Struthio camelus: one gene and its partners. The protein of the gene in region 1 interacts with the protein of each later gene in a biochemical or structural test. Links are inferred from orthologs where the notes say so. Each region holds a gene or a part of one and is shown in the gene's direction. Other genes may lie near its edges.

Region 1 (7,815 bases):
GAGAGTGCGCTGGGGGTGTTTAAGCGTGCAAGGGGGTGGTGTGCGCGTGCACGGGGTGGTGTGAGCATGCATGGGGATATATGAGCTTGCACGGGGTGTGCAGGTGTACACAGGGCGTGTGCATTCGTGCACGGGGCGTGTGCGAGCTGCATGCAGCCGCGTGAGCGTGCACGGGCCATGTGCATTCGTGCACGGGGTGTGTGCGAGCCGCATGCAGCCGCGTGAGCGTGCACGAGGTGTGTGCAGGTGAACACAGGCTGTTGCGTGTGCGCCGCAGCAGCCCCGTGCGTGCACACGCGTGATGGTGCGCGCCCGCTTCAGGTGTGCAGACCTGCTCCCTCGGGCGTGCGCTGTTCCCTGCGCACGCACACGCTCCCTCAGGCGTGCACCCTTGCACGAACACGCTTCCTCACGCATGCACCCCTGTGCACGCACACGCTCTGTCGCATTTGCACCCCGTGGTGCACGCACACGCTCCGTCATGCGTGCACCCCTGTGCAGACACATCCTCTGTTGCATTTGCAACCCTGTCGTGCATGCACACGCGCCGTCATGCATGCATCCCGTGCATGCACACGCTCCATTGCACAAGTACCCCATCGTGCACACACACGCGCCATCATGCATGTATCCCGTGCATGCACATGCTCCGTTGCATTCGCAACCCCGTCGTGCATGCACACGTGCTGTCATGCATGCATCCCGTGCATGCACACGCTCCGTTGCACAAGTACCCCGTTGTGCATGCACACACACCGTCATGCGTGTGCCCCCGTGCATGCACATGCTCTGTCGCACACGCACCCCGTCGTGCACACACACGCACTAGCACGCATGCGCCCCGTGCATGCACGCGCTCCGTCGCACACGCACTAGCACGCATGTGCCCCGTGCATGCACGCGCTCCGTCGCACACGCACCCCGTCGTGCACGCACACGGCCCGCCACGTGTGCGCCCCCGCCCCCGCCCGCCGCCCCCGCAACTGGGACAAGGGCCCCCAATGTCACAGCGGCGCCGGGGCGGCAAATCTGGGTCTGGCGTGTGCGGGCGGGCGCAGCCGTGTCCCCCCCCGGGAGCCGCCCCACTTCCCTCGCCCGCTGCCAAATTTAGCCCGCCAAGGGCGACCCGGGGCGGCGCAGGCGTGTGCAGGCGTGTGCGGGGCCGGCGGGCGAGGGCGGCAGCGTGGCCGCGCGTGTGCAACCCGGCGCCTGGGGGCCCGTGTGCAAGCGTGAGCGGGTAGGCGCCTGTCTAAGCGTGTGGGTGGCGTGTGGGTGCTCGGGGACCCCCGCCGCGCTGCCCCGCACCCCTCCGCCCTGCAAGGGTGCCGTGTGGCTAAGCATGTGCGTGCACGTCCAAGCGTGTGCATGCACGTCCAGGTGTGTGCGTGCACACTAAGTGTGTGCAAGCGTGTGGGTGGCGTGTGCAAGCGTGTGAGTGGCGTGTTGGTGCTCAGGGACCCCCGCCGCGCTGCCCCGCACCCCTCCGCCGTGCAAGCGTGCAGCGTGACTAAGCGTGTGCACGCACACCCAAGCACACATATGCACACCCAAGTGTGTGGGTGCTCGGGGACCCCTGCCGCGCTGCCCCGCACCCCTCCGCCGTGCAAGCGTGCAGCGTGACTAAGCGTGTGCACGCACACCCAAGCGCACATATGCACACCCAAGTGTGTGGGTGCTCAGGGACCCCCACCGCACTGCCCGGCACCCCTCCGCTCTGCAACGGTGCAGCGCGGCCAGGCGTGTGCACGCACACCCAAGCACGTGCACGCACACCCATGCATGTGCAAGCGTGTGGGTGGCGTGTGTGTGCTCAGGGACCCCCGCCGTGCTGCCTCGCACCCCTCTGCCCTGCAAGGGTGCAGCATGGCCAGTTGTGTGCATGCACGCCCAGGCGTGTGCAAGCGTGTGGGTGCTGGGGGACCCCCGCCGCGCTGCCCAGCACCCCTCCACCCTGCAAGCGTGCAGCGCAGTCGAGCGGGTGCATGCACGCCCAAGCACATGTGTGCACACCCAAGTGTGTGCATGGTGTGCAAGCGTGTGGGTGGCGTGTGGGTGCTCAGAGACCCCCGCCTTGCAGCCCGGCACCCCTCCGCCCTGCAAGGGCGAAGCACGGCCGAGCGTGTGCACGCACACCCCAGCCCATGCTTGCACACGCAAGCGTGTGCATGCACACCCAAGCAGACGTATGCGCACCCAAGCGTGTGCAAGTGTGTGGGTGGCGTGTGGGTGCTCAGGGACCTCCACCTTGCTGCCTGGCACCCCTCTGTCATGCAAGCGTGCACCGTGGCCAAGCGTGTGCACGCACACTCAAGCATGTGCATGCACACCCAAGTGTGTGGGTGGCGTGTGGGTGCTCGGGGACCTCCGCCTTGCTGCCCGGCACCCCTCTGCCCTGCACGCGTGCACGCACGCCCAAGCACACACATGCACACCCAAGCATGTGCAAGCATGTGCAAACATGTGGGTGGCGTGTGGGTGCTCAGAGACCCCCACCATGCTGCCCGGCACCCCTCCGCCCTGCCAGCGTGCACCGCGGCCAAGCGTGTGCATGCACGCCCAAGCACACGCATGCACACCCAAGCGTGTGTGGGTGCTCGGGGACCTCTGCCTTGCTGCCCGGCACCCCTCCGCCCTGCACGCATGCACGCACGCCCAAGCACACGCATGCACACCCAAGCGTGTGCAAGTGTGTGGGTGGCGTGTGGGTGCTCAGAGACCCCCCGCCTTGCTGCCCTGCACCCCTCCGCCCTGCCAGCGTGCACCGCGGCCAAGCGTGTGCATGCACGCCCAAGCACATGCATGCACACCCAAGCGTGTGCAAGTGTGTGGGTGGCGTGTGGGTGCTCAGAGACCCCCCGCCATGCTGCCCTGCACCCCTCCGCCCTGCCAGCGTGCACCGCGGCCAAGCGTGTGCATGCACGCCCAAGCACACGCATGCACACCCAAGTGTGTGCAAGCAGGTGGGTGGCGTGTGGGTGCTCAGAGACCCCCCGCCATGCTGCCCTGCACCCCTCTGCCCTGCCAGCGTGCACCGCGGCCAAGCGTGTGCATGCACGCCCAAGCACACGCATGCACACCCAAGCGTGTGCAAGTGTGTGGGTGGCGTGTGGGTGCTCAGAGACCCCCGCCTTGCTGCCCGGCACCCCTCTGCCCTGCCAGCGTGCACCGCGGCCAAGCGTGTGCATGCACGCCCAAGCACACGCATGCACACCCAAGCGTGTGCAAGTGTGTGGGTGCTCGGGGACCTCTGCCTTGCTGCCCGGCACCCCTCCGCCCTGCACGCGTGCACGCACGCCCAAGCACACGCATGCACACCCAAGCGTGTGCAAGTGTGTGGGTGGCGTGTGGGTGCTCAGAGACCCCCCGCCATGCTGCCCTGCACCCCTCCGCCCTGCCAGCGTGCACCGCGGCCAAGCGTGTGCATGCACGCCCAAGCACACGCATGCACACCCAAGTGTGTGCAAGCAGGTGGGTGGCGTGTGGGTGCTCAGAGACCCCCCGCCATGCTGCCCTGCACCCCTCTGCCCTGCCAGCGTGCACCGCGGCCAAGCGTGTGCAAGTGTGTGGGTGGCGTGTGGGTGCTCAGGGACCCCCGCCTTGCTGCCCGGCACCCCTCCGCCATGCCAGCGTGCACCGCGGCCAAGCGTGTGCACGCACACCCAAGCACATGCATGCACACCCAAGCACGTGCAAGCATGTGGGTGGCGTGTGGGTGCTCGGGGACCTCCGCCTTGCTGCCCAGCACCCCTCCGTCGTGCAAGCGTGCACCGCGGCCAAGCGTGTGCACGCACACCCAAGCGTGTGCAAGCGTGTGGGTGGCGTGTGGGTGCTCAGGGACCTCCGCCTTGCTGTCCGGCACCCCTCCTCCCTGCCAGCGTGCACCGCGGCCAAGCGTGTGCACGCACACCCAAGCGTGTGCAAGTGTGTGGGTGGCGTGTGGGTGCTCAGGGACCTCCGCCTTGCTGTCCGGCACCCCTCCGTCGTGCAAGCATGCACCGTGGCCAAGCGTGTGCACGCACACCCAAGCGTGTGCAAGCGTGTGGGTGGCGTGTGGGTGCTCAGAGACCCCCGCCTTGCTGCCCGGCACCCCTCCGCCCTGCCAGCGTGCACCGCGGCCAAGCGTGTGCACGCACACCCAAGCGTGCGCGAGCGGGTGGGTAGCGCGTGGGCGTTCGGGGCGCGGCGCGGGGTGGGGGCAGCGCGTGACGGGTGGCCTGTGCCCGGCAGGGGCGCGTGTGATGGTGGCGGCGGGCGGCCGCCGGCAGCATGCCGCGCTCGCCGCCGCCCTCCAGCGAGGAGGAGGAGGAGGAGGAAGGGGGCCGCGCGTCGGAGGGGCCCGAGGGCGACTCGGACTCGGGCAGCTGGCGGGCCGGCCCCGCTAAGCCGGCGCCCGGGCGGCCCCGCGCCGGCCCCCGCCGCCCCCCGCCGCCCCCCGCCGCCGCCGACGGCCACTTCAGCATGATGGTCTTCCGCATCGGCATCCCTGACCTGCACCAGACGGTGAGCTGGGGGGGGGGAGCCCCAAAAATGGGGAGGGGGCACCCCAAAAATTGGGGGGGTGCCTCTCAGGGGCTGGGGGGGAGCCCACAATTGGGGGGGGAGCCAAAAATGGGACACCTCAGGGGTGGGAGGGGACCCTGAAAATTGGGAGGCATCTCGGGGGTGGGGGACCCCAAAATTGGGGGGCACCCAAAATGGGGCAACCCAGGGTTGAGGGGACCCCAAAAATGGGGGGGTCCCAAAAATGGGGCATCCCGGGGGTGGGGGGACCCCAAAATTGGGGGGGAGCCAAAAAAGGGGCACCTCTGGGGTGGGGGGGACCCTGAAAATTGGGCACCCTGGGTGTGGTGGGACCCTGAAAATGGGGGGATCCCAAAAATGGGGCATCCCGGGGTGGGGGGGACCCCTAAAATGGGGGAGGCATCTCAGTGGTGTGGAGACCCCAAAATTGGGGGGGACCCCGAAAATGGTGGGCATTTTGGGGGTGGGGGACCCCAAAATTGAGTGGAGCCAAAAATGGGGCATCCCGGGGTGGGGGGACCCCAAAAATGGGGGGACCCCGAATATGGGGCAGCTCGGGGGTGGGGGGACCCCGAAATGGGGGGGAGCCAAAAATGGGGCATCCCAGGGGTGGGTGGGACGATGGGGGACCCCAAAATTGGGGGGAAATCCCAAAAATGGGGCACCTTGAGGTGGGGGTGGACCCCGAAAATGGGGGGACCCCGAAAATGGGGGGGTCCAGAAATGGGGGGTGCCCAGAAATGGGGCACCCTGGGGGTGGGGGGAACACAAAAATGGGTGGGTACCCCAAAAATGGGGCACCTTGGGGGTGGGGGTGACCCCAAAATTGGGGGGGGTCTCCACAGATGGTGGAGCACACTAGGGGTAGGGAGGACCCAAAAAAGGGGGGGCAGCAGGGATGGGGGAGCCCCAAAAATGGGGGGAACCTCGGGGGTGGGATGGGGGAACCCCCAAAATAGGGGGGGCACTGGGAATGGGGGGGACCCCCAAAATGAGGGATAAATCTGAGAAATGGGGGAGGGGAACCCCAAAAAGGGGAGGGAAATCCCAGGAAATGGGGGGGGACCCCCCCAAAATGAGGGGAAAATCCCCAAATGTGGGGGAGGGGGCCAAAAAATTGGGGGAGAACCCCGAAAATGGGGGAAATTAACCCAAATTGGGGAGAACCTAAAGAAGTGGGGGGGGATGACCCAAAATTGGGGGGGAGAGGACAAAATAGGGGGAGAGATCCTGAAATTTTGGGGGGAGGGTACCAAAATTGGGGGGGGAACCTTGAAAAATGGGGAGGGGGGGACAAATATGGGGGCACCAAAGCACGGGGGGGGCGCAAAATATGTGGGGGACTAAAATATGGGGGGGGCACGACATGGGGACCCCAAAATAAGAGGGAGACCCCAAAATGGGGGGGGACCATGAAATTTGGGGGGGGACCAAAATAGAGGGGGGACCAAAATGTAGGGGGGCAGGGTTTTGGGGGGGCCAAAATGGGGGTCGGACTAAGCGCACGTGGGGGGCCGGAGCGTGGGGCGGACCCGCAAAAAAGGCGGGAAACCGCAAAATGGCGGGGACGGACCCAAATTGGGGCCGTTTTTGGGGCCGATCGGGGCCGTTTCTCACCCAGCATCGCCGGGGCGGCTGCGGGGGCCATTTTTGGGGCTGATTGTGGCGTTTCGGGGGCCGTTTCGGGGCCGAGCGGGGCCGTTTCTCGCCCAGCATCGCCGGGGCGGCTGCGGGGGCCATTTTTGGGGCTGATTGTGGCGTTTCGGGGCCGTTTCGGGGCCGAGCGGGGCCGTTTCTCGCCCAGCATCGCCGGGGCGGCTGCGGGGGCCGTTTCGGGGCCGTTTCGGGGCCGAGCGGGGCCGTTTCTCGCCCAGCATCGCCGGGGCGGCTGCGGGGGCCGTTTCGGGGCCGTTTCGGGGCTGAGTGGGGCCGTTTCTCGCCCAGCATCGCCGGGGCGGCTCCGGGGGCCGTTTCGGGGCCGTTTCGGGGCCGTTTCGGGGCCGAGCGGGGCCGTTTCTCGCCCAGCATCGCCAGGGCGGCTCCGGGGGCCGTTTTTGGGGCCATTTTGGGTCGAGCGGGGCTGTTTCTCGCCCAGCATCACCGGGGCGGCTGCGGGGGCCGTTTCGGGGCCGAGCGGGGCCGTTTCTCGCCCAGCATCGCCGGGGCGGCTGCGGGGGCCGTTTCGGGGCCGAGTGGGGCCGTTTCTCACCCAGCATCTCCGGGGTGGCTGCGGGGGCCGTTTTGGGGCCGTTTCGGGGCTGTTTCGGGGCCGTTTCTCGCCCAGCATCTCTGGGGCGGCTGCGGGGGCCATTTCGGGGCCGTTTCGGGGCCAAGTGGGGCCGTTTCTCGCCCAGCATCGCCGGGGCGGCTGCGGGGGCCGTTTCGGGGCCGTTTCGGGGCCGTTTCGGGGCCGAGCGGGGCTGTTTCTTGCCCAGCGTCGCCGGGGCGGCTGCGGGGGCCGTTTCGGGGCCGTTTCGGGGCCGAGCGGGGCTGTTTCTTGCCCAGCATCGCCGGGGCGGCTGCGGGGGCCGTTTCGGGGCCGTTTCGGGGCCGAGCGGGGCCGTTTCTTGCCCAGCATCGCCGGGGCGGCTGCGGGGGCCGTTTCGGGGCCGTTTCGGGGCCGAGCGGGGCCGTTTCTTGCCCAGCGTCGCCGGGGCGGCTGCGGGGGCCGTTTCGGGGCCGTTTCGGGGCCGAGCGGGGCCGTTTCTTGCCCAGCATCGCCGGGGCGGCTCCGGGAGCCATTTTGGGGCTGTTTCGGGGCCGAGCGGGGCCGTTTCTCGCCCAGCGTCGCCGGGGCAGCTGCGGGGGCCGTTTCGGGGCCGTTTTGGGGCTGAGCGGGGCCGTTTCTCGCCCAGCGTCGCCGGGGCGGCTCCGGGGGCCGATTCGGGGCTGATTGCGGCGTGTCGGGGGCCGTTTCGGGGCCGAGCGGGGCCGTTTCTCGCCCAGCGTCGCCGGGGCGGCTGCGGGGGCCGTTTCGGGGCTGTTTCGGGGCCGAGTGGGGCCGTTTCTCGCCCAGCATCACGGGGCGGCTGCGGGGGCTGTTTTTGGGGCTGATTGTGGCGTTTCGGGGGCCGTTACGGGGCCGAGCGGGGCCGTTTCTTGCCCAGCATCGCCGGGGCGGCTCCGGGAGCCATTTTGGGGCCGTTTCGGGGCTGAGCGGGGCCGTTTCTCGCCCAGCATCGCCGGGGCGGCTCCGGGGGCCATTTTGGGGCCGTTTTGGGGCCGAGCGGGGCCGTTTCTTGCCCAGCATCGCCGGGGCGGCTGCGGGGGCCGTTTCGGGGCCGAGCGGGGCCG
Region 2 (7,944 bases), on another chromosome or scaffold:
ACCGTGTAATTGCTAGTCAGTTACCCAGGAAGGAGACTTTTCAAGGGAATCCTGAAGGTTTTATCTTAAGACATCACACCTGCATCTTCACCTATATAAGCTTTCTCAGAGAAACACATTAATGCATGCAAGGCTTTTCTACAAAGCAGGGACGGATCTAGATTAAAAATGACAACATATGGTATTGCTTCTTTAAACCATTAGACGCTCATTTTCTAAGGATATGTTTGAAAGTGCACCTACTCTGATTGCTTGGCTTTCCACTGAAGCATAGATACTGCTCTTGAACTCGCTGCTAGAAGGCGGACTACTAAGAGGGCGCGCCTGAAGAGCTGCGCTTTCACAGATCTTTCAGTCGAACACCAGAATTTCTGTTGAGCAGCACATAAAAATGAGTTGCATTCATGTTATTGTTGTATTTTTTACACTGGATGATACTACTGAAGTTTAGAACAGGTGGGTATATGCTTAGTCATGGAATGCAATGCTGTCTTATGGAAGCGGTCTAATTAATTTATATGAGATGTCAGCGTGAATGAGATTGTCGGAGTCTTGCCTTTAATTGGCATGTCATTTGGAAAGGAATGTAACAGGTAGATAGGTGTGTCTGTAGGGAAGGGTACAGAGGAAGGCCTGGAGGAAGCATAACAGCCTTTTTAAAGGCTACGTGAAAAAGCACTTATGTTCAGATCGTTATCTACACAATAGCCACATACACGCAATCATCTGATATGCAAGGGTTTTAAACAAGGAAATTGCAGAAAAAAAATTATATGTAATATCTACATAACCCTGCAGCAGGTGCTTAATTAGCACAGCTGTCTGAGCTAGTAAAACTGCTAGCAAGTGACCCAGCAAGGAAGCAGTAGAAGAATGGCACAAAAGATAGCAGGGAAAATTCTCAGGGAAGGGAAGTGTAAACAAGTCTCAGGAGTACTGTGCTTCCTGATCAGAAACATAGCAGATGTGGCAAAAAATACAAGGAGGAGATCTGCCTAGCCAGTGGAAACACGAACAGGAAAGGTAAGGAAAAATAAATAAATGACAGCATACTTGTTGAAGCAAGGAAACCAGGAAATGCACAAGCAAGAGCAACTCCTGTTCCCCTGATCTGAGCCTAATGCAGAATTGATGTACTTAAACTGTGACTCTCGGAGTCTGCAGCGCTAAGCTGAAACGTAGCGCTAACCAAGGGATAAGGACTGCTCAGGAGACAGGTCCTAGTTTCAACTCAGAGGAGCCAAAGGCAGCTCAGAACAGGCCACGCTACTTCTTAAGGCAAGACATCAGGAAAATCAGATCAGGAAAAACATGGCTTACCTGAGACTTTTCTAATGTGGGTTCAGATTAGGGAGGAGGACGCGTTCTTATCAGTCAGCGCCAGCGTAGCCTGCAGTCCGCCCAAACTACAGAAATAAAATGAAGAAACATATCACTAAAATGGTGTGTTTGTGTAGCGAACGCGTAATGTCTGTACACATACAGTCATGAAGACGCTGTATGCTTCCTACAGTAAAAACCAGCCCCAAATTGGGAAGTGAGCGGTACTACTCCTTACAGACGGAGCTAGGGAATTTCAGCAAATTTGGGGTCACATCAGCACCGTTCAAAAGCCATTTCGAGTCTGCCACGGGAAAATGAAAGATTCAAAAGGAGCTGAACTTGCACAAATTAAAATTGATTTGGAGAAAAAGCCTCAGGGATGCATTGTGATGACAGCTACGCCTTTTCACGTAGGGTAAATGGAGGGCACGTGACTGCGACGGGGGGTCAGGACAGACCCAAACAGCAGCAGGGCGATGCTGGAAGTATCTGCCCCTGTGGAGAGCAACTTGTAAAGACATGACAAAACTCTGCACTAAATTCCTACGGGCAACAGGGGGCTAAACCGTTTCGCAAGCGCTGACGAGCGCGGGCAGGCCGCGTTACCACGCGCGTCTCCCCCTCCTGCCCCGCGACGTGGCTCTCGTGGCCGCAGGACCGCTACGTTACGCCACAAAACTGCTGGGATAAATTAACCCAAGGAAGCATCATCGCTCTGCTTCCAAAGACCAGGGAGGTGACCGCCGCGCTTCCCGCACGACGCTTTAAAAACAGGGAACTGCGCGGACAGAAGGTCTTCCAGCCGCGGGGGGCGAGGAGCCGCCCCGAGGGGAACCCGCTGCCCCCCCCGGGCCCACTCCGAGGGGAACCCGCTGCCCCCCCCCACTGCTCCGAGGGGAACCCGCCGCCCCCCCCGGGCCCACTCCGAGGGGAACCCGCTGCCCCCCCCCCCACTGCTCCGAGGGGAACCCGCCGCCCCCCCCGGGCCCACTCCGAGGGGAACCCGCTGCCCCCCCCCACTGCTCCGAGGGGAACCCGCCGCCCCCCCCGGGCGCCGCTCCGAGGAGAACCTGCTGCCCCCCCCGCCCCGCTCTGAGGAGAACCGCCCCCCCCGCCCCGCCCTGAGGAGAACCGCCCCCCCCGCCCCGCCCTGAGGAGAACCGCCCCCCGCCCCACCCTGAGGAGAACCGCCCCCCCCGCCCCGCCCTGAGGAGAACCGCCCCCCGCCCCACCCTGAGGAGAACCGCCCCCCCCGCCCCGCCCTGAGGAGAACCGCCCCCCCCGCCCCATCCTGAGGAGAACCGCCCCCCCCGCCCCGCTCTGAGGAGAACCGCCCCCCCCGCACTGCCCTGAGGAGAACCGCCCCCCCCCCGCACTGCCCTGAGGAGAACCGCCCCCCCACCCCGCTCTGAGGAGAACCGCCCCCCGCCCCACCCTGAGGAGAACCGCCCCCCCCGCCCCACCCTGAGGAGAACCGCCCCCCCCGCCCCACCCTGAGGAGAACCGCCCCCCCCGCCCCGCTCTGAGGAGAACCGCCCCCCCCGCCCCGCTCTGAGGAGAACCGCCCCCCCCGCCCCGCTCTGAGGAGAACCGCCCCCCCCGCCCCACCCTGAGGAGAACCGCCCCCCCCGCCCCGCCCTGAGGAGAACCGCCCCCCCCGCCCCATCCTGAGGAGAACCGCCCCCCCGCCCCACCCTGAGGAGAACCGCCCCCCCCGCCCCGCCCTGAGGAGAACCGCCCCCCCCGCACTGCCCTGAGGAGAACCGCCCCCCCCGCCCCGCCCTGAGGAGAACCGCCCCCCCCGCCCCATCCTGAGGAGAACCGCCCCCCCCGCACCGCCCTGAGGAGAACCGCCCCCCCCGCACTGCCCTGAGGAGAACCGCCCCCCCCCGCCCCGCTCTGAGGAGAACCGCCCCCCCCGCCCCGCCCTGAGGAGAACCGCCCCCCCCGCCCCATCCTGAGGAGAACTGCCCCCCCCGCCCCGCTCTGAGGAGAACCGCCCCCCCGCCCGCCCCGCTCTGAGGAGAACCGCCCCCCCCGCCCGCCCCGCCCTGAGGAGAACCGCCCCCCCGCCCCGCCCTGAGGAGAACCGCCCCCCCCGCCCCGCCCTGAGGAGAACCGCCCCCCCCGCCCCGCTCTGAGGAGAACCGCCCCCCCGCCCCGCCCTGAGGAGAACCGCCCCCCCCCGCCCCGCTCTGAGGAGAACCGCCCCCCCCGCCCGCCCCGCCCTGAGGAGAACCGCCCCCCCCGCCCCGCTCTGAGGAGAACCGCCCCCCCGCCCCATCCTGAGGAGAACCGCCCCCCGCCCCACCCTGAGGAGAACCGCCCCCCCCGCCCCGCCCTGAGGAGAACCGCCCCCCCGCCCCATCCTGAGGAGAACCGCCCCCCCCGCCCCGCCCTGAGGAGAACCGCCCCCCCGCCCCGCCCTGAGGAGAACCGCCCCCCCGCCCCGCCCTGAGGAGAACCGCCCCCCCCGCCCCGCCCTGAGGAGAACCGCCCCCCCCGCCCCGCTCTGAGGAGAACCGCCCCCCCGCCCCGCCCTGAGGAGAACCGCCCCCCCGCCCCGCCCTGAGGAGAACCGCCCCCCCGCCCCATCCTGAGGAGAACCGCCCCCCCGCACTGCCCTGAGGAGAACCGCCCCCCCCGCACTGCCCTGAGGAGAACCGCCCCCCCCGCCCCATCCTGAGGAGAACCGCCCCCCCCGCACCGCCCTGAGGAGAACCGCCCCCGCCCCGCCCCCCGGCCCCCCCGCGGCGCAGCGGTGGGGGGTGCTCCCCGCCCCGCAGCCCAAGCTCCGAAGTTTCCGCGGCAGTTGCATAACTGCCGTCGCGCGGGGGGGGGGTGGCTGGCCCGGCCCGGCCCCCGCCCCCGCCCCCGCCCCGCCGCGGCTCGGCCCGGCCCGGCCCGGGGGCGGGCGCCGCGCTGCCCGGGGCTGACCCGCCCGCCCCTCCCGCCCGCCGGGACACGGCGCTGCTGGCGGGGCGCAGAGGCACTGCCCGCCCCGCGCCGCCCGCCGCCCGCCCGGCACCCACGGCCCGTCCTCGGCGGCGGCCCCGGCCCCGGCACCGCCCGCCGGGCCGCCCGCGCCCGCCGCCGCCGCCGACGGCGGCAAGATGAACGGGGCGCCGCCGCCGCCGCCGGGGCAGCAGGTGATCCACGTCACGCAGGACCTGGACACGGAGCTGGAGGCGCTCTTCAACGCCGTCATGAACCCCAAGCCCAGCTCCTGGAGGAAGAAGATCCTGCCCGAGTCCTTCTTCAAGGAGCCCGACTCGGGCGCGCACTCGCGGCAGTCCAGCACGGACTCGGGCGGCCCGCCGCCGCCGCGGCCCGCCGCCGCCCAGCACGTCCGCTCCCACTCCTCGCCCGCCTCGCTGGTGGGCGCGGGCGCGGGCGCGAGCGCGGCGCCGCAGCACGCGCACCTCCGCCAGCGCTCCTACGACGTGACGGACGAGCTGCCGCTGCCGCCCGGCTGGGAGATGGCGCTCACGCACACGGGACAGCGGTACTTCCTCAAGTGAGTGCCGGCGGCGGGCGGCGGGACCCCGGGCGGGCGGCGGGACCCCGGGCGGGCGGCGGGACCCCGGGGCTTCGGGCCTGGCAGGTGGGCGCCAGGGCCGGCGGCGGCGGGCGGCTCGGGCGCCTCGACCTGCGCTTGGGCGCCGCCCGCTAGGCCGCGGCGGAGCCGGCACGCCGCTCCCTGACGGGCCCGGGCGCTGGTCACGGGGGTCGCCGCGCGTGGCAAGGGGACGTGGGGCCGCAGGCGGCGGGCCGGCACCCCGGCCCGGCCCCTCCGCCAGCCCCCGCGCGCGGCGCCCGCCGCTGCTCACCCTCGGGCCCCGGTCCGTTTTGGCCACGCGTTCCGTTTCTGACGGACAGCAGCGCGCTAGGGCCTGAAGACACGTAGCGACCGTAAGGAGCCGCTGCAGCGTGTGATCCAGCGCCTGGCTTGGCTCCGGGCTCGCCGCAGGTTAAGCGGCCCCTTAGGGACTGGGCCAACAGGCGGTAGCCCCGTACTAGTGAAGGCCCTGCCTAGGAGGGAGGTTAACGGCCAGCGCTGCAGGAGGCAGTTTGCCCCTTCGCTACGACCTTCTTGGTCAGGAGAAGAAGTAGTAGTTTGAGTTCAGCCGTTTACAATGTTTCCTTTTTAGAAAAATCAGTAAATACGTAATTCATCTCCTGGTGCAGTGATTTCATTACCTGGAGGCTTTGGAATCTCCAAAGGATTATTCAAAAACCAAGACAGCCTCTGAAGTTACTCCGAAGAATTTGGATTCTTGCCTCTTGTCACACTCCAAGTTACTAGCAAAGTGTGAAAACTAATTTCCTTTCTTTTGCCACTCTGTGTGTTAGTATATGTGATTTATAATGTTGGGTGGCCACGTACCAGGGTTCAGACTTGTGAATTTTTTACTGATCTCATTTACCACCTACGCGAGGAGATCTTGTTGCGCTGCATCTTGCATATGTTTTTTCTCAAGAAAGCAGGCCAGAGAAGAGGAAGCTGATAGGAGCACTGTAACAGATCGTTTGGAGATAAATATTTTGTGTAAATACTTACTAGGGTTTGGCCAGCAGGTGTTTTCAGATTCTTGTTAAAAACGATGTAACATAATTTTTGTCTGCTGTTTGGCTTTTGGTTGATATCGAAATGAGTTCCTGTGGTTTCATCTTTCCCATCACACATGTCTGACAGAGAGGCTTTTCCCTATCACCAAACGCTGATGAATTCCTGCTGCTTGGACCAAAAATGCGAGTCTCTTATTCGAAAAGCTGTGGGGAAAACCCAAAAGTGTCTTTTATATTTTTTCCAAATCACATCAACAATAATCGAATCGGTGAACGTTTTGAGAAACTTTATTTTGTGAATCTGCTTTTATTCTGTTTTTTATACCTCTTAAAAGTAGAATATTCTGCTTAACAATATCCTTTTTTTTTAATATACGAGTGTAATTTGTTACCTAAGGTAGACTTTCTGTTTTGTTTAACCAGTTTTATTTAGAACTTTTAAAAATTTCTGTAATAATTAAGTGGTATAAATTATTTCATTATTACTCAGTAATAGTTTTGGGAGGTAATACTCAGCTATAAAACGACCATCTATGAATTATAATATTTTGCCGTGGTGTAATGTTTTTCAGGTGAAAATAGCGTTTTCTACAGAAATTTAATCCTGTTTATGGAAAGCGGCGTTTAAAACTGTGCAAAATAATATATAGTGTTTAAGTCAGATGATTCATTTGGAAACACTCTTTGGTCAAACCTGGCATATAAGGTTACATTTATGTATACCCGAGGGCTGCCTGTCAAAAAAAGTCACCATTTCTTTTCAGCTTAATGCTATGCACATGTGTATAGTCATTGGCAAAAGAAAATTGAGAAGGAGGTGGAGAGCAACTAGCAAAAAACTAGGTTGTATTAAAGCCTTTATGATCTGTTGAGGTTTGAAATGCAATTTGTTTTACTTAAATGTATTATCAAGAATTACTAAACGAAAGTAACGATGGGACTTTAAATGAGCAGTGAGCCTTAGTTGGCCTCGTTGACCAGGAACCAGCTATAACTTGCAGAAATCACGGCCTTGCGTGTCAGTTCCTGCATAAGTTTTCTGGCTGTGACTGGAAGAAACATAAGTAGCCTCGGGACCACTCCACCCTGTAATTAAATACCAAGCCACAGAAGTGGGGGATGGAAAACAGACTAATAAACACACACTCACTTACAGCAATGTTATCTAAAGCATTTTTCTGTGTGTGCATGTGTGGGGGGAAAAAAAAAGTTTAAGTGTGACTTCTTTCTGATAAAAAGGATTTCTGGAAAGATGGGCAAAATGCCTTGTGTAGCTCTTACGTTGGTAAGTGGGAATATCAGTTGCCTATTGATCCACATGCTGAACTGTGTACACATATTCTGTCATCAGAATTTTTCAAGTATTGCTTTCTGCCAGTTTGATTTTAGGTACTGCAGCCTCGTATTTCAAATGAAGTGTAAGGCTTTAGTGTTTTCTCGGTGTGTGTGTGCCGTGCTTCTGATCAGACTGTGACTTCACTCCAGGAGGTAAACACATCTGTATAGAGAGTATGATGTTTGCACTGAGCCGATTTGTGAAACTTGTTGCTGCTGTTACCTTTATCACAGCGGTTTTTAAAAACGTTACGGTAAACATTTGCCGTATGAGGACATATTTGCCAGTAAAAGCTTGTTCAGGGGAAAGCAGGCTGATTACTTTAAGTACTTGATTTACCTGACATGCCCCACTTTTTGCTACCAGTTTCTGTTGGTGGAAAAGTTTGATCTAACACATGGTCAGTTTTATATTACTGAACAGGTTCAGCAGAACACGGTGAGGAAAAGTGGTATAAATGCGATGAAGACAGTTTTTTTCCTGAAAAGGACAAAACAAATCGTATGAAGACAGTTAAACCGTTCAAGCAATTTCCTAATAGTGCATTTCTCTGAAAATAATTGTGTTCTGTGGGGACTGTAACTATCTAATACTCTTACTGTGCTTGGTGCTGTACAGTATTCAGAACAGAGGTATTTTCTGCCTCAGAAGAGTAGTTATATGGCTCAGTAGGAGATGGGAAGGACAGCGTGTGCGACACTGTTAAGCTCTGATAA
Region 3 (8,217 bases), on another chromosome or scaffold:
GATTGTAAGTTTAATAGACTTCCACTGTGTTCAGAAGCATATTATATTCTAAATACTTACAGAAAATGAAAAAATATAGTTTCAGAGACATATACAATAGTGTTTTATCCAAAATTGTGTTTGCAGTTGTCCATTTCTATTTGGGTACCACTGTATAAAGTCCTGCTGAGAGGCTAGGAAAAAAAAATTAGTATTTTTTTTGCTGAGTTGGTAAGCATTAGTGGAGACCACTAGCTATTTACTTAATCTACAGGCAATCTGAGACATGCTTGAAACTGTTGAAACAAATGAAAACAGTGCTGTCTGCACAACTCCTTTCCTTTCCTCCCTTCCCTCCTTTCCTTCTCTCCTTCTGTCCCTCCTTCCTCTCTCCCCTGCTCCCTTCCCTCCTTCCTCCCTCCCTGTTTCCATACAAGTTTTCACAGAGAGATTTTTTCATGAATGTACAGATAGATCTTCAGCTAGACTGAATTAGTGTCACTCACTTCATTTACATTTAGCTTTCAAAAACTGTGTATTTTGGTGAGCTTACATGCAAATAGTTACACGGTAAGACCTCAGTGTAGTAGGTTTCTGGAATCTTGAATGTTTTTGTCAAACCCTAAATAGGAGAAAAGAACATCAGAACTGTGCCTAGTCTGCTATTACCATACTCTGCTCACCCAAATTAATAAAAAGACAATTATATAAAAACATAAAAGACTATTCTTGTAGAGAGCAAATCAAAATTAAGTGTCATTTCCTCTTGGAAGATTTCTTACCTCTTAAATCTCGAGTATGGATAAAGTCAGTAACATGGAAGATTAAGCCTCCCTCTCATCATTATTCTGTGGTGAATTCATGTATTTTAAAATCCATTTATGCACATTTTAATCTATTTTTGAGATCTCCAGTTAATAGGTTTTCAGAGGTATGCACTTTTTATGGTTTTCCTTATAAACTGCATTCATAATAGTGAAGTGCTTTTTCCAAGTTCTTTAGAGAGTCACCATTACTTGTACTGACATCAGAAAGATGGTACTCGCTGATCTGACATAAACAAAATTATGGACACATTTAAGTTTCATTACGATCTTTCTTAGATAAAAATTTGAACAACATCTCCAAACTCAAACTGTAGCTGTATGATACTTCAGGCTACAAGAATGAAAATAGAAGTCTTTAGGCAAGAAAAGAAAAGGTGATGCATCTGAAAACGTATACAGAATTAGAAGGAAATACATAATATTAATGAGAATGAATTCTGCAAGTCCTTGTTCTCCAACATATCTTTCATTAAAATATTCCTCCCACATATAAGTGTAGAAATAGATTAGTATATGTTAGTATACTAATAACTACAGCAGGACTATTAAAGTTAATAATGGATTAACCCGCATGAGTGAGAATTACTTGCTTGTGAAGGACTAGGCTAGTTCTGTTGCTTCACATGTTTTATAAAATTATATATCTGTTACATAACTTCCTCCCACATGTATTTCACTTGGATTTGTTTGTTCCTTCTTCCTGCAATGAACCATTGCATAGTATTGCTGTGCACTATTCAACAAGCTCATAGGTAGCTTAAGTTTTCGTTAAGTAAGTTTACCCTTGTGCACAACACTTCCTAATTCTTAAAGAGCTTCTGCTCCTATGATGTCTATTAATGGGCTTCTTCTTTGGCTATCTGTTTCCCTTACAGAAAATAAATCTCTGACAAGCAATAAATGTTATCGGGGGGGGGGGAGAATAGTAATTTAGTGGGAAATTGCAATAAATGAATAATAATAATGAATATATTTGTTGCCTCCTCTACCATCCTTTAATATATAAAGGAAGTACACTGAGAATGGCATAGTGCAGACTGTATGGCAGATCAGGACATTCGTATTTAACTCTTCTCTCAATACAGGTTGTTTTCACTCAAAATCTCATCACTTATTACAATAGCTAGTAAACATTCTCAACCATCAATGTAATGCCAGACATTTCATTCATGAGGGAATAAATAATATCTAAGTGATATCAAAGTGAAGCAATGTAATTGAAATAAGCAGACACTAGTTTGTAGAAGAAAAAGGGAAAGCGCTCCTTAGAAGAATTAATGGCTTGAGTAATTTTCATATATACAATCTGGAAACAAATTTCAGATAATACTGAAGCAAGCATCAGCACCTTTGGAGTAAACAGTATCAATTTTCTTAAGCACTTTCTCAAAACTTTCTAAAAGAATTTGCATTTCATTTCTAACTATATAGGACATTACTTTCATGTGGTCTGAAAAACATAACAAGAATAAAAATAACACACACTTTTCACATGCAATTATGTTGTAAAAGAACCATTTTGATTTTGAAAATACAGTGGATCCCTTGATCCAGCCACCAAAGGCTGGATAGCTTTTGAAATTAGGAAGACTATATGCTTACAGTTTTGGACCAGCTGTGAAAAAAGTTCTATCTTAAATGCAAGAACTGTTTGATTCATACTTTGACTGGGAGGCTCACAAATCTAATAAGTTTGGTTTTGAGGAGTATTTGGTAGCTTCCCGTATACATTGCTATGGTCCTTCATAAGGACAGGGGATTAGAAAATATAAGCATTGGCAAAGCCAAGAGCCAGGAATTTCATGAAAAAAATTTGCAGGAGAGGCAGCCTTTTTCTATAGGATGCTCTTTGCTTATGTTAGCTCCAGGTCTTATTAGTTATGAATTTGTCAATAGTGCCTCAGTGTTTAAGTTTATAAGCCTCATTTAAAAAATGGTTTAGATACCTAAGTCTAGATTTATAAAGGTACTAAGTGCCTAAGCAGGTTAGGCACCTAACTCCTGATAAGCATGTTAGGTGCCTACTCCCAGCGCCTCCCAGGCATCCAGTCTTGATTTAGACACTTTTGAAGATGAACCAAGCATTTTTAGGCCTTTAAATATCTGACTGTAAAGAACTTAAGTCCTACTGACTTTCATGGGCATTTAAGGCAGGTGCCTAAGCACCTAGACTGTTAAGATTTTGTCTGGAAAAAACACACAACAAAAGATACAAAGCTCTCAATTCAGAGTGGCACCTTCCCAGTTAAAGCAACAAAACCCCAAGCCAACAGATTGACTCAAAACTGCAACAGCTGAATCGGATCAGAAGGTCATGAAAAAATAAGTGTTCAAATCAAGATCAAGCAGTCACAGGGGCATAGGAATTTTCCTTCTTTAATGGACTTCTTGCTGAATGCTTCTGAAGTAGCTTTACCAGTAATGGTTTTTATCCTTTAATTTACAAAAATAACATCAAAAGGGATGGACTGCATGTAACTGGGAGCTTTTTAAGAAACTGGAGGATGGGTATTCTTCACCATCTCCTTGGAGAATGTCAGCAATATTAAGGTTTTATTGCTCTTCTAATTACTATCTTTAGTTTTTATTTATTATTAATTACATGAAGATAATTGTGGATGAAGAATGGCTAAAAGAGAGGATAGGGACATGCATAAGAAAGCATCAGGGGAATGAGGTTAGTAGAAATAGTTTCACTGAAATGTTTTCTCAACAAAATGGCACTTTTGTCAAAGTGTAAAGGTTCAAAACATTGCTTTGGATGATAGCTTGTTCAGAAAAGTATCCTGAAATAGTCTTAAAATCTGAAAATTTTCATTGCAGAAAAAAACAACTTTAACTTTGAAGCATCAAGTATGTTTCAAATTTGTATTTCTCTACATCATACTCTATTTCATTAATTACGGTTTACAGTGGTTGAAAGGCTACTTTTTACGGTGGCAGGTAAAGACAGCTGCCCTGACAGAAAGGTATTTTTTTTTTTTTACATCAGCACGCATGACTTCTACAGGTATTTCAAGAACAGTGGAACCAAACTGAAATTCAAAGTACCGGAGGATTCTGCAGTGAAAATGAAAATTTTCAAATTTATTCCAGTTAGTCATTTCAGGGAAAATTCTGAAAATACCTGGTTTTCGCTTGGACCCAGAAGGACACGCCTTTCAATAAGTTAATTCAGCAGGGAGCTCAAGGTTTGAGTAACTTTTCTGGGGGTGCAACGGCTGAGCCTGAGAGGAGGCATCGCAGCAGGGACGAGGCCCGAAGCCCCCGAGGCGGCCGGTTGCGGCCGCGGCGCCGGCGCTTCAAGCCGGGCGGGGGCGAAATGGCGGCCGCGGCCGGAGGCGGGAAGGTGCGAGGGCGGCGCGGGGCGCCGGGCGTGCGGGCTGTCAGCTGCGAAGGGCGCGGTAGCGCGAGCGCGTCGAGAAGCAACACGTTTGAACGGTGGTTGTCCGGGGCAGCGACACAGGCCTGTGCGCTGGGGCAGAGAGAGCAAAGGATAGCGGTCACAGGGATCGGCGGGCGGCCGTTGGCTCTGAGGGGGGGGCATGGCTCGCGGGGCAGCGGGCTCGGCCGCGGCGGGCCCTGAGGGCGGGCTGAGGGACGGTGGCGGGCGGGAAGGGAAGCGCCGCGCTGCGCGGCGGCGAAGGGGTTAAGCCGCTGCCGCGGTTCTATTTGCGGCTGCCGCCGCTCCAGGCGATTAGCGCGCGGCTCCGCTCCCCCGCCCCGGCCGGCCGCGGGAGCGCGGCAGCAGCAGGTGGCGGTGGCCGCGGCCCCAGCGGCGGCGGCAGCAGCGAGGGAGTTAACCCTGTGGCGGCGGCGGTGAAGGGGGCAGCGGTGGCGGCGGCAGCGGCAGCAGCAGCAGCAGCAGCAGGGGGACTGAGGATCAGGCAGCAGCAGCAGCCGGGTTGCTAGGGATGGAGAGATCCCGTGTCACCCGGATGTGAGTGTCATGTTGGCCCAAACTCTAAGGGATTTGGCAGCGGCGGCAGCAGCAGCAGCGAAGCAGCAGCAGGAGCAGGAGCAGCAGCAGCCCCTCGTGTGTCGCTAGACACTACCATGGGGGTCGGATAGTGGGGAGCGCAGAGGGCAGCGCACACCTGGCTTGGGAGTGGGTCGGGGGCGTCGCTGCTTTTTTTCTTTCTTTCTTTTTTTTTTTCCTCCTTTTCTCACACACCGGAGAAAGTGAGAATAATGCATTACCACCAGCAGCAGGAGCAGCACCCTGAAGGTAAGAGCCGGAGCGCCCACCAAGGGCAGCAGCATCCCCGGGGCTGAGGGGAGGGGGAGGCGGGGGAGGATTTGTGAGGGATTTGGGAGACGGGGATTTGGGGGGGGGGAGGATTAGGGAAGGGGTTGAGGATGGGGTAGGTTTGGGGTGAGCGTTTGCGCTTGAGGAAGGGACCAGGAGAAAGGGCTCGGGGAATAGGAAGGGCACGGGATAAGGTTAAGTAGCGACAGGGATGCTGCCCTCGGTGCGTAACTAACATGGGAGCGGGTTTATACATGTCTGTTTCTGGCCTCAGGGCTGTTAATATCAGCTGGTTGGGCTGAGAGAGGCAGAGAGAGGACATGGCTTTGTGCATGTTTCTCTCTTATTTGTGTAATTGGGGATGAACCTGCCTGGAAATGCCGCTTCCCAGGGGCTTTCTTGGGCGGGGGGCGGGAGGGCAGGTGAGGGGTTATTACAGGGCTTTGGATACGATGTTTTCAGCCCACTTCCCCGTCACGTCGCTGCCAGGAGCGTGCAGAGAGACGACACATGGGGCTCCTATATGTTAATCTCCTTCGCAAACAGGCTCCGGCAGCGCTACATCCCCCATTGTTGTTGTTGTTGTTTTTAAAAAAAATGATTCCTCCCTCTTGAAATTAGCAGTAAGTTTGTATTTTTGTCCCTGCTGGAGGGCAGGGGTTCCCCCCGGGGAACACGGACACTCGGGCTTTGTTTCACTTTCAAGTATTGATTTTAAAATGATGACAGATAGATTGGTGGTTTATTTGTGCCGAGCCACGTTTCATGGCATTTCAAAAGGCTGGCGGAAAGGAGGGGGGGAAGAGATGGCTGTGCCGTTGCTTTTTAAAAAAAAAAAAAAAAAAGGCAAGAATCTTTCCCTTGGAAAAATGTTGGAGATTAAATTCACACCTTTCCCTCCGTGTCAAACCGTAACCGGCGGAGGAACTCCTCTTCTTGTGTAACCTAGGCAGGGACCAGCTGTTGATGTGCCGCTTGCTCTCTGATGGCCACCTCCGCCGCTCGCCATCCCTGCTGCTAGATCTGCGCGGAAAATCTGCTGGTTTCAGAGGGAAACGTGTGGGCTAAACCGGGGAGTGACACCCCCTCCCGGCACCGCCAGCCCCGGGAGCCATTTTAGTGCGCCCCCTCGTTCCCCGCGCGCCGCTTCCCGCCCTCACACACGGCGAGGCGCGGAGCGGGGCCGCGGGAGAGGCTCCCTCTGCTCTGCACACGCATACCCTGGGCTCGTACCTCTTTCTGTTATTTACTTCCCCCCCCATGCAGAGGAGGAGGAGTGTGATTTTTGTCGAGGGGACTTCGTGTCTCGTTTACGTGTGATGAGCAGCGATCGCCGGGGAGTTGTTTTCCTCTCCCGCCTCGGTAGCACCAGAATGAACTTTCAGTCATTCCGTCTGAAACTCCCCGTTCGCGTAATTGCGCCGTTCCTCCATTTTTTTCCCCACCCAGGCATCTTCAAGTTTTATATTTTCTTAGGAATATCTCCTTCCTACAGGTGCATTTAGGAGTAGGCTCTTGCTCTAGTCAAAGGGCTTACAAGGAAGGATCCTTGCTAGGTGGTGGTGTTTTGCCTTCTGTGCTGACATCTCGATTAACAGAACTTCAGTAACTGTTTTGGAGGTGAAATATGTTTTTTCCTTGTAAAAAATAAATAAATAAATAAAAGCATTTCTTTATAGTGGTTTCACTCGTGGAATTTGCGATGTGGAAGATACCAATACTTTATGAGTGTATTTATCACCAGACAGTATCTAATTTTCACTTGTTGGAGGCATCCATGCATTTTTCTTTGAGAATGCAGAATAGGGCAAGATTTAAGTTGCTTATAGGAATTTTTTTTGGTAGTATTTCAAAGAGTGTTGAATATTCTCAATTAAAAATGTGCAAGAACTTTAAACTACTACTTTTTTGATCAAAATGAAGTGAGGAAATAGTAAGTGTTCAGGTGCTATAACAAGTCGGTTATAAGAAGGAGGTATGGCTATTAGACTTGAGTATAGTGACATGAAAGCTGCTATCCAGTTTGGAACTGTGAACTAAATGGAAGAATCAAAATTTGAGATATTTCTCTGTGGTACTTGTCTTGACACTCAGATTAAACTTAAATTTATACTACTGATTCTTGAACCTTATTTTACTGTGCAATTACATAGATACTCATGCTATGCAGTATCTGTGGTGGAAGCATCACACCATCGAGACTTCTTAAAATCTTTTTATCAACAATGTTATGACATATTTTATCATAAAAAATATAACCAAGTACTTTTTTCTTTTTTTTTTCCTTCTCTCACAGAGGCGAACTATGCAAGTAGCACCAGAATTCCTCTCCCTGGTGACGGACCAACTATTCAGTCAAACAGTTCAGCACCATCCAAGCAAACTGTTCTGTCTTGGCAAGCTGCAATTGATGCTGCTAGACAAGCAAAGGCTGCCCAAAATATGAGTACTACCACAACCCAGCCTGTAGGATCTCTGTCCCAAAGAAAACGCCAGCAATATGCCAAGAGCAAAAAACAGGGTAACACGTCTAATAGTCGGCCACCCCGTGCCCTTTTCTGTTTATCCCTCAACAACCCAATACGAAGAGCCTGCATTAGTCTAGTAGAATGGAAGTATCCTCTGATGCAGTTTTCTTTTTTATCATCTGTTCTTTTGTGTTTTCCAAATGTATCAAGGAGATTGTCTTAACAACATCTCTTACAGCTTCTCAGCTACAACGTATTAGTTTGCCTGCATGTATGTGAGTAACTCTCATTAATGTTGATGGTAGTTAATTTTGCGTAAATTCCTGTTGACGATAGCCTCTTAATCTGCGTCATAATGACGCAGAGTATCATTTCACTGAAGTAGGTAACTCAGAGAAGAGCTCATAGCTGTCCCTTATTTCTTGGGGAAGAGGATTTCACATTTATAACTTTTTTTTCTTGTCTCTAGAGAACATTCAGGGTATGCCCTTTTTAAAAGTTACGTTGTTTACTCATTTTACAGTTGTAAAATAGTCATCATCTTGCTTTCTCCCTATCTGACACATTCATCTTGCGAAAGCCCTTTCCTTCTTTAATTTCCCCTGTGGATTTTTTTTAACTTCCCTTCTTATATCGTCTTCTACATTATACTGTTCTAGCAAATCTTTGTATTGCGTTCATTGCCCTTCCCAAC

Evidence for each region. The genes of interacting proteins can lie anywhere in the genome.
Region 2: the proteins of SHANK1 (region 1) and WWTR1 interact in a test that uses a peptide from one of them, tested with the Homo sapiens proteins (2 studies listed by IntAct, with this or other methods). The link is inferred for Struthio camelus from reciprocal best matches to the Homo sapiens genes SHANK1 and WWTR1.
Region 3: the proteins of SHANK1 (region 1) and CACNA1D interact in a biophysical measurement, tested with the Homo sapiens proteins (2 studies listed by IntAct, with this or other methods). The link is inferred for Struthio camelus from reciprocal best matches to the Homo sapiens genes SHANK1 and CACNA1D.

Annotation. Positions count from the first base shown.
Region 1 is NC_090975.1:53,083-60,897, forward strand, and holds the start of SHANK1 (SH3 and multiple ankyrin repeat domains protein 1), read left to right. Parts: upstream 1-4,427; 5' UTR 4,428-4,458; coding exon 4,459-4,500; intron 4,501-7,815. UniProt on the Homo sapiens protein: Seems to be an adapter protein in the postsynaptic density (PSD) of excitatory synapses that interconnects receptors of the postsynaptic membrane including NMDA-type and metabotropic glutamate receptors via complexes with GKAP/PSD-95 and Homer, respectively, and the actin-based cytoskeleton.
Region 2 is NC_090950.1:34,065,968-34,073,911, forward strand, and holds the start of WWTR1 (WW domain-containing transcription regulator protein 1), read left to right. Parts: upstream 1-4,392; 5' UTR 4,393-4,436; coding exon 4,437-4,840; intron 4,841-7,944. UniProt on the Homo sapiens protein: Transcriptional coactivator which acts as a downstream regulatory target in the Hippo signaling pathway that plays a pivotal role in organ size control and tumor suppression by restricting proliferation and promoting apoptosis.
Region 3 is NC_090955.1:17,400,146-17,408,362, reverse strand, and holds the start of CACNA1D (voltage-dependent L-type calcium channel subunit alpha-1D), read left to right. Parts: upstream 1-4,665; 5' UTR 4,666-4,997; coding exon 4,998-5,034; intron 5,035-7,351; coding exon 7,352-7,670; intron 7,671-8,217. UniProt on the Homo sapiens protein: Voltage-sensitive calcium channels (VSCC) mediate the entry of calcium ions into excitable cells and are also involved in a variety of calcium-dependent processes, including muscle contraction, hormone or neurotransmitter release, gene expression, cell motility, cell division and cell death.